Linked DNA regions of Arabidopsis thaliana. The protein of the gene in region 2 interacts with the protein of the main gene of each other region in a pairwise test. Each region holds a gene or a part of one and is shown on either strand. Other genes may lie near its edges.

The links. Proteins that work in one complex are often made in the same cells at the same time.
Region 1: the proteins of XIK (region 2) and AT5G16720 interact in a two-hybrid assay, tested with the Arabidopsis thaliana proteins (one study listed by BioGRID).

The regions. Positions count from the first base shown.
Region 1 is NC_003076.8:5,491,971-5,498,244, reverse strand, and holds AT5G16720 (caldesmon-like protein (Protein of unknown function, DUF593)), read right to left. Parts: upstream 4,018-6,274; 5' UTR 3,937-4,017; coding exon 3,144-3,936; intron 3,055-3,143; coding exon 2,977-3,054; intron 2,840-2,976; coding exon 1,683-2,839; 3' UTR 1,399-1,682; downstream 1-1,398. Other genes in the region: AT5G16730 (weak chloroplast movement under blue light protein (DUF827)), read right to left, coding at 1-107, 339-355; EMB2247 (protein EMBRYO DEFECTIVE 2247), read right to left, coding at 5,016-5,147, 5,277-5,443, 5,574-5,646, 5,751-5,852, 5,975-6,079. UniProt on the Arabidopsis thaliana protein: Membrane-anchored myosin receptors that define a distinct, plant-specific transport vesicle compartment.
Region 2 is NC_003076.8:6,934,047-6,940,532, reverse strand, and holds the start of XIK (myosin family protein with Dil), read left to right. Parts: upstream 1-2,702; 5' UTR 2,703-3,152; coding exon 3,153-3,155; intron 3,156-3,968; exon of another isoform or gene 3,969-3,989; coding exon 3,990-4,118; intron 4,119-4,387; coding exon 4,388-4,531; intron 4,532-4,636; coding exon 4,637-4,782; intron 4,783-4,884; coding exon 4,885-5,041; intron 5,042-5,207; coding exon 5,208-5,266; intron 5,267-5,622; coding exon 5,623-5,782; intron 5,783-5,887; coding exon 5,888-6,037; intron 6,038-6,122; coding exon 6,123-6,259; intron 6,260-6,343; coding exon 6,344-6,486. Other genes in the region: AL5 (alfin-like 5), read left to right, coding at 258-542; AT5G20500 (Glutaredoxin family protein), read right to left, coding at 868-944, 1,036-1,134, 1,282-1,355, 1,724-1,881. UniProt on the Arabidopsis thaliana protein: Myosin heavy chain that is required for the cell cycle-regulated transport of various organelles and proteins for their segregation.

The sequences.
Region 1 (6,274 bases), 1.4 Mb from region 2:
TATTACTAGTTTCGGATTTATTAACTGTTCTTTTTGCTATTCTTGGAGTTGCTGGAGATGATTTCCCGGTAGGAGTAGTAGTAGTTGTTGTTTCGGACAAACTAGTTCTGTTTCCAACAAAAGACAATAACAACAGTCGATCTCAGAACAAAGAAATAAATTGCCGCAAAAAATTAGGACAAAACAAATGTAGAAATGAATTTAGTAGATCCAAAACTCGATCATTGACAATTTCTCAAAATAGTAACTTGGATCAGATCTACTACGATCTACTAAAAAATTTCCCAGAGAAAATAGGATAAAACTAAAACAGAGTGAAACTGAGTAAAGAGTCTTACTTAGTCTTCGAAGCCATAACCGTCGATCGCTGTCACCGTCGCCACCACCGTCGCCACCACCGTCGCGCTCAGTTGATCAGAAATTCGATTGATAATTTTGCTGGAATTGGGACTCAATTTTCAGATCAAGAAAGAGAGAGAGAATGATTCGAATCGGTGGGATCGAAGTAACGGAGAATGATATAGATAATGGCAGGTGTGGTTGTCTCCAGAGTGGCCTCACTAACTCGTTAAAAAGAAGCTTATTTATTCTGCTACCGATCCGATGTATAAAAACAAAGAAACCACTAATAATCTAGCTTCATTAAATAATGGTAAAATAGAAATTAAGAGAACGTGAAGGTTGGTAAAATGACGATAATGACCCACACTCTTCTTTTGTCCAATCAAACTGACAGCGAAACTACCGTCACTCTCTTCTTCTTGTTCATATCATTGCGGCTTCTAACAAGATCAACGGTTCTTATTGTTCGTCATTTTCTTTTTTGTCAACGTTTCCGTGTTTCCTATTTATTATTATACGGTTGGTATATAAATGCGTTCATAAGAAATAAAATATATAAATCATTTTGGCAAAAATATTTGGTATGATTCAATGATTTTGTTTGGTAAAACTATACATTCTTCATTATATACTTCAAAATAAAACTATACAATTCATTACCATCAATCATTATCGCAAAGAAACTATTATTGTCATGATATATACTAGGTTTTATTTATTTATTTACATCTTATTTATTAGGAATGCAAAAGTAAAATGGGCATGTGACAATTGGTAAAGAACACATGAGATGAGACTAATGATTCCTTTATCTGCCCAAAGTATAATCATGACGTTTGTTTATGCAAATTAAAGCAATTTGGTGTTTGTTTATACGGTGGTTCGAGAATATCTAAAGCTTGGAAATCAAGGAAACGAAGAAGATCGATCCTCTTGAGAAGATATTAAACTTAGACCAAACGAAGAAACTCGTGTTCTGACTTTCCAATGGGCCTTCAATGTTTGGGCTAAATGGGCCAGAATTTATTTTCTTGGTAAGGAATGGGCCAGCTAAAGTTGCAGAACGAACCAGTTTTATGTGCCAATTATTTTCCAACTGAAAACTCTCATAAACTACAAGAAACACAGAATTTACATTGACAGATACAAATTCAATGACTAGTGTGTGTGAAACCTTTTGTTACACCAAACAAAAAAAGAAAACACAAACAAGAGACATCTAAGAATTTCTGTAATTCTCAGATCCTCCATTGAGCAGTGCAAAGACATTGATTCCGGCTTGAAATCTGTCTGAACAATGGTGTGAGAGAGAGTTCATATATAATTCTTGTGAATAAACATCACTCTTCCTGTGTCGTCTGGTTTTCAATTGTGTTAGTGAGTTCAATGGTTCTGAGATCGCGGAGATGTTGCAATATATCTTTAAGAATATCTGTTCCTTTGTCACCTTTCTTCGCTGAACTCATACAGTTTTTCAGAAACTCTCCATCTGTTTCCAGCTCCTGTAACCTCTCATAGACACTATCAACTTGTTTGATTATCTCCAGTTTCTCACTGTCCGAACCAAAGTTCTTTTCATCTGATTCTGGTAGTCCTTGAGACCCGTCTTCTGATTCGTTCTCTGCTGCGTCTAGAAGAGGTAGCAGACTCTTTGCCATTGATGCCATTGTTAGTCCTCCATGTCCATTACTCGCTTCTTCATAACTATTGCTGAATTCTCCCGGATCCTCAGCAGATTCCTTGTCCTGCATTGTTACTAGCCTATCCTCTAACACCTTAAGCTGATCCAAAATCACTAACCTCTCTTCCTCAAACTCTGATAAAGATTCACCAAGCATGCTCATATGTTGTACGCAATCTAATGTTATCTTCTCCAAATCCACATCCATCTCAGAAGAATTATCCTCTTCTCTATTCTCCTCCTCTTTATCATCATCATCAGCCTCACAATCGTTTTCCACAACGATGATCTTGTTCTTAGCTTTCGATTCATACTCCAAAACCTTTGCCCGATAAACCTCAAGTTCTCTCTGGAGTTGTTCCTTCTCTTTCTCTCGTTTCACCATCAAATGATTCAATAGCTGCAAGGCTTCTTGATCATACTCGGCTTGTTCCTCCATCATTCTCTGATACTGCAACGCTTCCATCTGAACTTTCGCTTTCTCTTCTTGTAGCCTCGTGATCATTGCCATTGTCTGGTTAGCCGATATTGCAGACGCGCTTCTTTCTTCTTCCAGCTCTGCATATAAATCTCTCAGTGCTTCTTGTTCTGCTCTCACTGTCTCTCTCAACCTTTCAATAGTCCTTAAAGGATCGCCACCGTCCATCTCACTCACTAATACATTCCCATCTCCTGCATCTTCAGCAGCTGCATACTCATTTCTAGCAAGAAAATGAAGTTTCTTGTTAAACAAAGTACTGACTGAAGTTGGAGTTTCCGGATCAAGCTCCTTAGTCGTTTCTTCTCTATCTTCTTCTTCTTCTTCGATTTGGCTACCTATGAAAGAAAACAACTATATTCAGACTTAAAGTGCTTCACAAAGTTAGATAAACCAAACCAAAGATGTATGCATATGTGCACAAGGCCTGCTTGAAGAGATTTTCGATAACAAAAGAGTCATTCTTTTTGCTTACCAGTGAAATTCTTGCTCTCAAACTGGTCATACAACAAATCTGCTACTCCTGTTTCTTCTTCTTTTTCTTCTACACGCCCTGTTGTTTGATCACAATGAGGAATCTATAAAACCCAGAAAACTAACACATATAAAGTTTCAGACTTTGGATTTATGTTCTTACTCTACCTGAAATTTGATCTTCCCCATATGTGGCAACATTGCTTGTGTCATCATTCCTTTGTTCATCCTCTGAAACTCTTGATTTAGCTTCGTTCCCAGGAGAATTATTGCTGATGATAGATCTTAACCCATCCTCTTCAGACACTTCTCTCAAGCTTAATCCATAACTCTCAACATCTGAAATCACTTCACCATTTTGCTGCTGGTCTTGCTTCTTTCCTTCTTCTGCTTTATCTCTGAAGAACCCTAAGGGATAAGATTCTCTATCTATCTCAAACCCATCTCCAAATTTATCATCATCGATCATCTCTAAGATCAATCCTCCATCTTCTCTGTCACCCAAAGTTTTCCCCCAAATTGATGACTTGAGAAGCAAGTAATTAGGGTATGGTTTATCCGCTAAGCTCTTCTGACAACATGTGCAAAAACCTAAACCAATGTTGCTCTGTTCTTCTTCGCGATTAGAGCAATCTGAGCATAAGTTCGCCGATTCGGATAATTTCCCGTGAGTTCTGCAAAAACTCAGACTAGCGAGCTCGGCGATGTGATTTTGACATAAAAGCTCTTTGTAAGTGAATCTGTTTTCTGGCTTTCGCTCGAAGATTCGATCTAGCTTCGGACAGAGAAGACATACTTGCTTAAGACCGAAGAAAGAGGCGAATTTGACGATAAAGTAAGTGAAAAAGGAATTGAGGAAGATAAAGAACATGAGAAGCCATTCAAGGAATGCGTAGACCAAGATTACGGTAATTCTATTGGTGTTTCTGCTTAGCTTCGTCGCAAAATTGTTGGCCGCCATTGATTTTGGCTCCTCTGCTTCCGACTGAGAGAAGAGAGAGAGAGAGAGAGAGAGAGAAGAGGAGAGAGTGAGAATGATGTTGTCGGGTTACATGCGCTAACGACGCTGTCTTTGTCTAGTTTCAAGTTGGTTTAGATCTGAACCGGAACTATAAACTAAACCGGAATAAGTTTTCCAACCTTAACCTCGATTTTTTGGTTAGCTTAAATAATAGTAGTACGTAACCTTTGAGAATTCAATGTTAATGAGAAAGTAGAGTAATTTTTTTCTAAACAGCAATGTTGTGTTTTGTATAATAAAAAAAACTCCATTTAACCATTTATGTTTAGTGACTTGGTTCACGGTTTGTTATCATTTTTCATGTGATTAAAAAAAAAAATAGGAAATTGGAGAGAGAAATTGGCTAAAGGCAAAAAGAGAGAGCGTGATGATGAAGATTTGGTTGTCAAAAGAAACATAAAAAAGGAAAAGGGAGGTTAAAGCGAGGTACAGTACTTCTTATTGCTTCTTTTGCTTTTAGGTATGGGTTTACTACTATTTTTTTTTTTTTTCCTGTCATTAGCTTTCTCTAATATTCGCCAAACGAAACTGCATCTCACTAAACCACAAGTTGTATCGAAACCATACGCCCAACCACCTAATAAATTTACCTAATAAAATGGTTATGGATTTTTCAATTTTGGAACAAAAACAAACTTTTGTGAAAAGAGCTATGTTGTTCTGATTACTGATTATTGGTACAAAATTTACCTAGTTGGTGAGGCTATTAAATAATAGTAAATACAATTGTAACATAACCAGCAAATATAATAAATTAATAATATATCCACTTTCTGCTGTCAAAATAAAATAAAAATAAAATCCACTTTCTGCTTAAAAGGCATTATGGGCCCCGACAATAGGACTGGTAAAATAGTTGACAATTGATCATTTTTGGGGGCATTTTCAAACTAATTGGGTCCTCAAAAAACAGAAATATTAATAGTAGGTAGTCTCATCGACTCAAATGATCACAATTAAATGGTCCATGGGCCGCTATTGGTCGGGTCCGAACTTGAGAGAATAAGAACTACCTGAATTTACTGAGACACTAAAGAAGTAGTAGACTTGAGAAAATCAAGCCTAGCTTTGGTCAACTTTATCTTCTCTTCTAATTCTTCTACTTGCTCCTTTACACCTCTCACCACTTCTTCTGGAGCTTTCTCCACAAACTACATATTTCAGCGTTAAAAATGTTGTAAAACAAGCAGAGTCTAAAACTAATGCACCATGTTTAATAAGCTTATCGAAAACAATTTCTAGCAAGGGTTTAAGAGACTCTTTTGATGGTTATGGTATACCTTTGGTGAACTGAGACGAGTTATGAGGGCGTCATATTCAGTTTGCATCTTGGAGAGACGTTTAGAAATGCGTTGGACTTCAGATGATATATCAACCATGGCTGCAAGAGGTAGATATGCCTCGAGTCCTTCACTGGCTACAAGGTGGACTGATAGATTTGCATCACCTGAAGGACCAACCATGTGAAGTTTTGTTGTGACCATGATGATTCAAGGGAATCATCGAAAATGTAAATATTGAGATAAGATGCAAACAATGAAAAGAAAAGAGAAAAAAAGGATTAAAGATAATTATACCAGGAGGGGCATTGGAAAAATGGACGTTGTTTAAGTCAAGCCTGGATAGAAGAGCTAATACCTCCTTCTCTTTCTGCACCGCCACAAGAACACAGTTTTTAATAAGGAAACACAAGGCAAACTGATGAACCTTATTCGTAAGATAATTTAACTGTTAGGAAGCCACAAGTTACTGACCGAAATATATTCAATGACCTCTGCACTTCCAACAACTGAGGCAGATATACGCTTTACTGGTTCCACTGAATACTCTGCTCGTGCATTTCGAATTGCTCTAGTCTGTGATTTAACAGGCAAGGTGTCAACATGCTCTGAACTTTTAATAGTATAAATATTAATTCCTTTAAGTATGGTTCTGTTTGAGGTTTACAGAATATATTAAGGTAAAAATTCATACTGACCAGAGCTTGTAAATTCTCAAATCTTTTTATTGATTCAACATTCCTTGGAAGTGAATTTTGTGGCCATGGAGACACAATGAGCGCTTCTTTCCTGTAGGGAAGTGCCTGCAATTATAAATGCATTCATAATTACAGTTTTATGAAGCTGAAATCATTTTTTGGTAGCAGTACCAAAGTATCAACCATATATAACTAAGTTTTCGGTCCTTTTATTTCATCCTCAAAAGAGGCTAAACTACCAAAAAAAAACTCAAAGATAACAGCTTAAGCATGCTTTGGTAAAAAAACGGCCACTACAAA
Region 2 (6,486 bases):
GAACACAATACTCTTACTTCCATAATCGTAGTTTGTGAATTGTGTGGCATAAGAAACCTCTTAAGTTTCAGGCAGCACAAAGATGTATCTTTAGTTGCAATCATCTAAGCGGCAGGTCTGGAATTACTGTATCAGTATGCAATGAAATGGCCAATTTATCACAAGCTTACCGCTCCAGTGACACTTGTTGATTACTTTTTATAGTTTACTCTCTGCTATTTTGGTGTAGTTAATACATTTCTTGATCTGGAATGCAGAGAGGTTTAGAAAGTAAAAGTTCAAAGACGATACATGCCAAGGATGAGGAAGAAGGATTAGAGTTAGAAGAAGGGGAAGAGGAAGAGGATGAGGATGAAGACGAACACGGTGAAACCCTATGTGGAGCATGTGGAGATAACTATGCTTCTGATGAATTCTGGATTTGCTGTGACATGTGCGAGAAATGGTTCCACGGGGAGTGTGTGAAGATCACTCCAGCTAGAGCGGAGCATATCAAGCATTACAAGTGCCCTACTTGCAGCAACAAAAGAGCACGACCCTAGATGTTTTATTTCCACTAATCTTAGCTACTATCTATTTTGTTTTATTTCCACTAGTCTTAGCTACTCTCTATTTATCCCCCAAACAGTACAATGCACTTAAAGTTTGTGTGTTGTTCAGATAAGTTATTTGTAGCATGTCCAGATTTGATTCCTCAACCCAATTTGTATAACTCAGAATGTGGTCTTTGATAAGATACGTTTAAAAGGCAAGATCAAGCTGTCACAAGGTCATGATCAAGCTGCAGAACACAATACAAATGGAAATTGAATTGCTTACACCTAAGCATCACAGAGAGTGTTATCAATTCTTCCAACTATATATAACCTAGAGTTCAGCTTCTTTGTTCCCGGAAACACCAAGAAGCTTGGCGAGTTCACCGCTCTCATACGCATCTACGGTATCTATAACCAGAAACAAAGATAAATCTATCGATCAGCAAATGTTGGCATAAGCAAAGACGTTTTGTTGAAGGAAAAGGAGTGTTAAGTATACCATCTGATCCTCCGAGATGTTTTCCGTTAATGAAGACTTGCGGTACTGTTCGCCTTCCAACAATCTCTCCAAGTGCAGTCTGGATGCTCCAACCATCTTCTGCAAGACCAAATTTTTACCAACCATTAGTCACAAATGAATCTTCTACATAGTGATCGGACAAAGTTTCAAATGACAGAAATGTCTGAGAGCTAAGAAACATTGTTGGATGATGAAGACATGATTCCCTTTAACCTTAAAACACACCTCTTTCATCAAGCTCGACAACATAAGGAACTTGATCCAGCTCTCTGAACACTGATTTAGCTTTCTTGCAGTAGCTGTTGACCAAACCACAAGGAAGCAAAGGAAAAGTAGAGATGAGTCATATACATAGGTACATGATCTCTCTACACAACTCAATTAAGGCCAAAGGAAAAGCAAAGAGAACAAATACTGAGAACTGAACCTGAATATATCTTAAACGAAAATCCATATTGATTTCAACCACCATTTGTAAACAGAGATAACAAAGTTGTCTCATAAAAATCCAAATCTAACGAATACAAGTTCATTGGGTTCAAGTTTTCACTCATATTTCAGATATTAAGATCTAAAAAACAAAATCGCAAATTGAAGTCACCCAAGATCCAATTTTTCTGCGAATCGGATAAAAAGTGATTAAACATGAGCAGAGAAAGAGACATACGGGCAGTAGGATTTGGAGAAAATGACGATCTTATGGGAAGAGATAGTCTTCTTAACAAAGTCGGCTTCTGGGGACGAAGCAGCAGAAGAAACCATAGAAATGAATGTAACTAGTGCGACGAGCAGCATTACCATGGAGATAGATCTAAACATTGTCATGGCTCCTTTCTTCTTCTTCTTCTTCTTCAGATGCCAATTGAAGACGATGACTTGCAGGATCGATACTGTGGAAAGTAGGTGTAGGTGTGTTGTGGCGGGTACGGTTTAACCCGGCCCATCTAAATAAGGGTCGTATTAAAGCCCAAAATCAAGGTTATTGTTTCAGCCCAACCACTATTACATAAATTGGGTGAACTTAACAAAAACAATTATTTTTTACTGGGCTTCAAAAACATAGAACATTTTTGGAGTATAAAGGATGATAATGATAATGACATGACCAAAGCTGGTATTAGACGTCTTAACACTATCTTGCGGGTTCAATTTGATTTCCGCTAAACTAAGAAAATCATACATCATCCCAAAACCTAAAATTAATATTTGTGTCACATCAATTTTGAATATATGAGTCAAATCATTTGTAAACATTCTTCACAAGTTATATCCTATATTTTTTATAAAAGAGAATTTCAAAAACAGAAACGCTCGTAAGAATTTTAAAATATTTCCACATCTAACCAATCCACTAACGAAGACAAATTAGCCATAATTTACTAGTCTTAATTAAAACAAAAAAGGGGATAAAAGTGTAAAAATGAGCAATTCAAAGGGCAGAGACAAAAACAAAAGATGTAGTAATGTTTTTTTTATTTACGAAACAATCTTTGTTGTTGTCTGTGTGTAGACTCAAAGAGTGTTGTGGGTGGCTGACCACGAATGTGAATGTCCAACTCGATCCACCTCCCTTCTCCTCATTGGACCCCACTTGACCAATCTCAATTCTCAAGCACCAACATTTTTTTTGTTTGAAAACAATACACAAATAATAATTAAGAAAAAAAAGTGTTAGAGAGAGAAAGACACACAGCTCAAAAGAGAACATTGTTGTTGCTCGAGGAGAGAGAAAAACAAAAAAAAAAGCCATTAGAGAACGTCGTCTGCAAAGAAAGAAGAAGGCCAAGTCTAGCTTTCTTTCATTCTGCTTCTTCAACAATCAATCAGCTTTCTTGAGAGAGATTAAAAAATTCATTCAGATTCAGCTTTTTGAAAAGAATTTTGGCTCCGTTAATTCCGATCTCCCGATTTCTCCGTGTCTGCTTTGAGCTGACTTCAAGGAGAATTTTTCTCAGACACACCAACTCGAGAGAATCTGCCCGATCTGACTCGTCTTGTTGCCTGACTCGCTGAGTCAGCTTTCTGCAAAATCGGTCTCTCTTGGATGAGTTAACTGGGAAAAAGAGAGAGGATCTATTGGAAAAAAAGGAGTAGCCATGGTAAAATCATAGATATCATCATCCTCGTCGTTTTATTCAATTGCTTATTGTATTTTCTCAAATGGGTTTATGTTGGATTTAAATCAATTAAACGGATTCATTTTTAACACTTGTCCGATTTGGTGTTCGTTAGTAGAGATATCTTTGTATGAGGTTTGCGTTTTGTTTTCGATCCCTAGTTCGTCTTCCCATTAACACGAGAGATTCTCAATCCAACTATAGTAGAAAAGTTGAATTTTGTTATTTTGGGGAACATTATACAGTGTTATTGAAAGGTAAGGGTCAAGAGTTCTATAACAAGTTGAAGTTGGACCATTTCAGTTATCTTAAATTTCATTTCGTGGACTTATCATTTCCTATTAACATTTCACTTAGCGGCTCTCACCATTTTGGATTACTTCTATTATTAGTAACGAGGTTATGTAAGCTTCTATGTTAGATTACTGTCCCTTTATATATATGTTTCATCAGGAAACTTCTTCAGGTGAGACCATTTTTTTTTTATATACCTAAGTTTTATTTGATATAAAGGCTGAAGATTTAGTTTCCAGAATGAAGGAAACTGAGGGAAATGCGCAGTGTTATGCTATCTTTGTTGTGTTTCTAAGTGAGTGTTGTCTCTAGATTATAGGCAGTGTTATTGTCCTGGTTTTGCGGGAAATTTTAATCTATAACATTAGTTACTTTCGGTTTAGGTTCGTATGTCTGGTGCCATCTATTTCAACTGCTTGAACTGATGATATTTGGTATTTGAAAGAGGAACTTATGTAACAGCTTGTGTGAGGTTATTAAAATCTTTGTACCTCACGTCTTCAATATTTGTATCTTTTGTAGGTTGGCCCAGTCAATATAATAGTTGGTTCTCATGTTTGGATTGAAGATCCTGGAGCGGCATGGATTGATGGTGAAGTTGTCAAAATTAATGGCGAAGAAGTTCATGCACATACCACAAATGGGAAGACCGTAAGTTGTCTATCCTCCTCCCATGCTTTTGCATGTAAATTTCCTTTTGAGAAATAATGTCACTGGAATGAATAGGGTGTTTCTGCTTAGGGTGTCTGTTTAACTTTGAACAAAATGTCACTAGTCCTCTAACCCCTTTCCCTGTGGATACCGTGTTACTCCTCTAACATATGAGTTTTGCATGACATTGACATCCCTATTTCATAATTATATTATACAATCATTGAAACCAGATTATGTATCAATCAATCAATCAAATTTAATTTCAGGTTGTGGCCAATATCGCAAACGTATTTCCAAAGGATACAGAGGCTCCCCCTGGGGGTGTTGATGACATGACAAAGCTCTCATATTTACATGAACCAGGTGTTTTGAATAACTTGGCCATGAGATATGAGTTGAACGAAATTTATGTAAGTTGTTATTCATTTTCTGCACTGATTACTTATGAAATCACTTACTGAGTTCCTAAGCAGTAGAAAACATTCCTAAATATTTCCGTTAAAATATGTTCGCAGACATATACTGGTAACATCTTGATTGCTGTAAATCCGTTTCAAAGGTTACCACATCTCTATGATACTCATATGATGGAGCAGTACAAAGGAGCAGGCTTTGGGGAACTAAGCCCCCATGTGTTTGCCATTGCAGAAGTTGCTTACAGGTTATTAATCCCAATCAATGATCCACTAGCAGAAATTCTCGTAGTCACTCTTTATTCATACATTTCTCATGCTAGTCTATTCTCTTTTGCTTCTCTGGGTAGGGCAATGATAAATGAGGGCAAGAGCAACTCAATTCTGGTAAGTGGGGAAAGTGGTGCTGGTAAGACTGAGACAACAAAGATGCTTATGCGCTACCTTGCTTACCTTGGTGGTCGATCCGGCGTTGAAGGAAGGACAGTGGAACAGCAAGTTCTGGAGGTGAGGCTTCAAAAAAATATGTTTCTTTTATCTTGGCTTTGAAGCTTGTCATGGAGAAGAGTCTAAGCCTTTACACAGATACTTTTAGTTACTGCATTGATATGTTTATAGAGAGGCTTGTAATGCTAGCCTGATTCACTATTTTGGTTTTATTGATGGTATACAGTCAAATCCAGTTCTTGAAGCTTTTGGCAACGCTAAAACTCTCAGGAATAACAACTCCAGGTACGTATGCGTATGTTCACTTAGAGGTTTTCCTTTGGATCTTTCTCTTGAAAAGTTGTCATTAGTTGCACAGTCAAAGTTGTTTTTGGCTCAAAGCTTCCTCAGTCACCACTTGTCACAATTTTGTTTTCTAACTATATAACAAACCCCAAGGCATCAACTGCACTGATGGTACATAAGAAAAATTAATCACATATAAACTATGCTAATCTCTTGGCCTTTTTTATCGGTAAAGTTAGAGAGTAATCAACTCAATAGTAATACTTTTGTACGTGATTGATTATTGTACTATAGAGTTATTTTAAGCTTCAAGGCAGATATCCTCATTGTAACTTTTATTTTCAATCAAAATGCAGTCGATTTGGAAAGTTTGTCGAGCTTCAGTTTGACAACTGTGGGAGAATATCTGGAGCAGCTGTGCGAACATATTTGTTGGAAAGGTCTCGAGTGTGTCAAATATCAGATCCTGAAAGAAATTACCACTGCTTTTACCTTTTATGTGCTGCCCCACCTGAGGTATTGGTGCTACACAATGATGCCAATATACCTTATTGTTAGGCGTTCTGCTTTAAATCACATGATTAAGTGGTTGTGGATTTCATTTATTTTCCCAATCTGTAGGAAAGAGAAAAGTTCAAGTTGGGAGATCCTAAGTTATTCCACTACCTAAATCAATCGAAGTGCTATAAACTGGATGGAGTGGATGACACCGAGGAGTATCTTGCTACCCGACGAGCTATGGATATTGTTGGCATCAGTGAAGAGGAACAGGTCAGTCTTCCATTTACTCCTTTTCCAACAAGAAATGATTTCTCTGGTAGAGCATCTTATTGACCATTCTGATAATTGCTATCAGGATGCAATATTTAGAGTTGTTGCTGCAATCCTTCATCTAGGTAATGTCAATTTTGCAAAAGGAAAAGAGATTGACTCCTCAGTTTTGAAGGATGAGAAATCAAGATATCATCTTGATGTATGTGCTGAACTTCTTAGGTATGTGCAACTTACTTGTTTAATCTCGATTTCTATTTTGTTTCCTTTTTACATCTTTGATCGTGGACTCACTTCTTTCAAAAGGTGTGATGCAAAGAAAATGGAAGATGCATTGATAAAACGTGTAATGGTGACACCAGAAGAGGTTATTACAAGAACACTTGATCCTGATTCAGCCACGGGTAGCAGGGATGCGTTAGCAAAAACTATCTATTCACGCTTGTTTG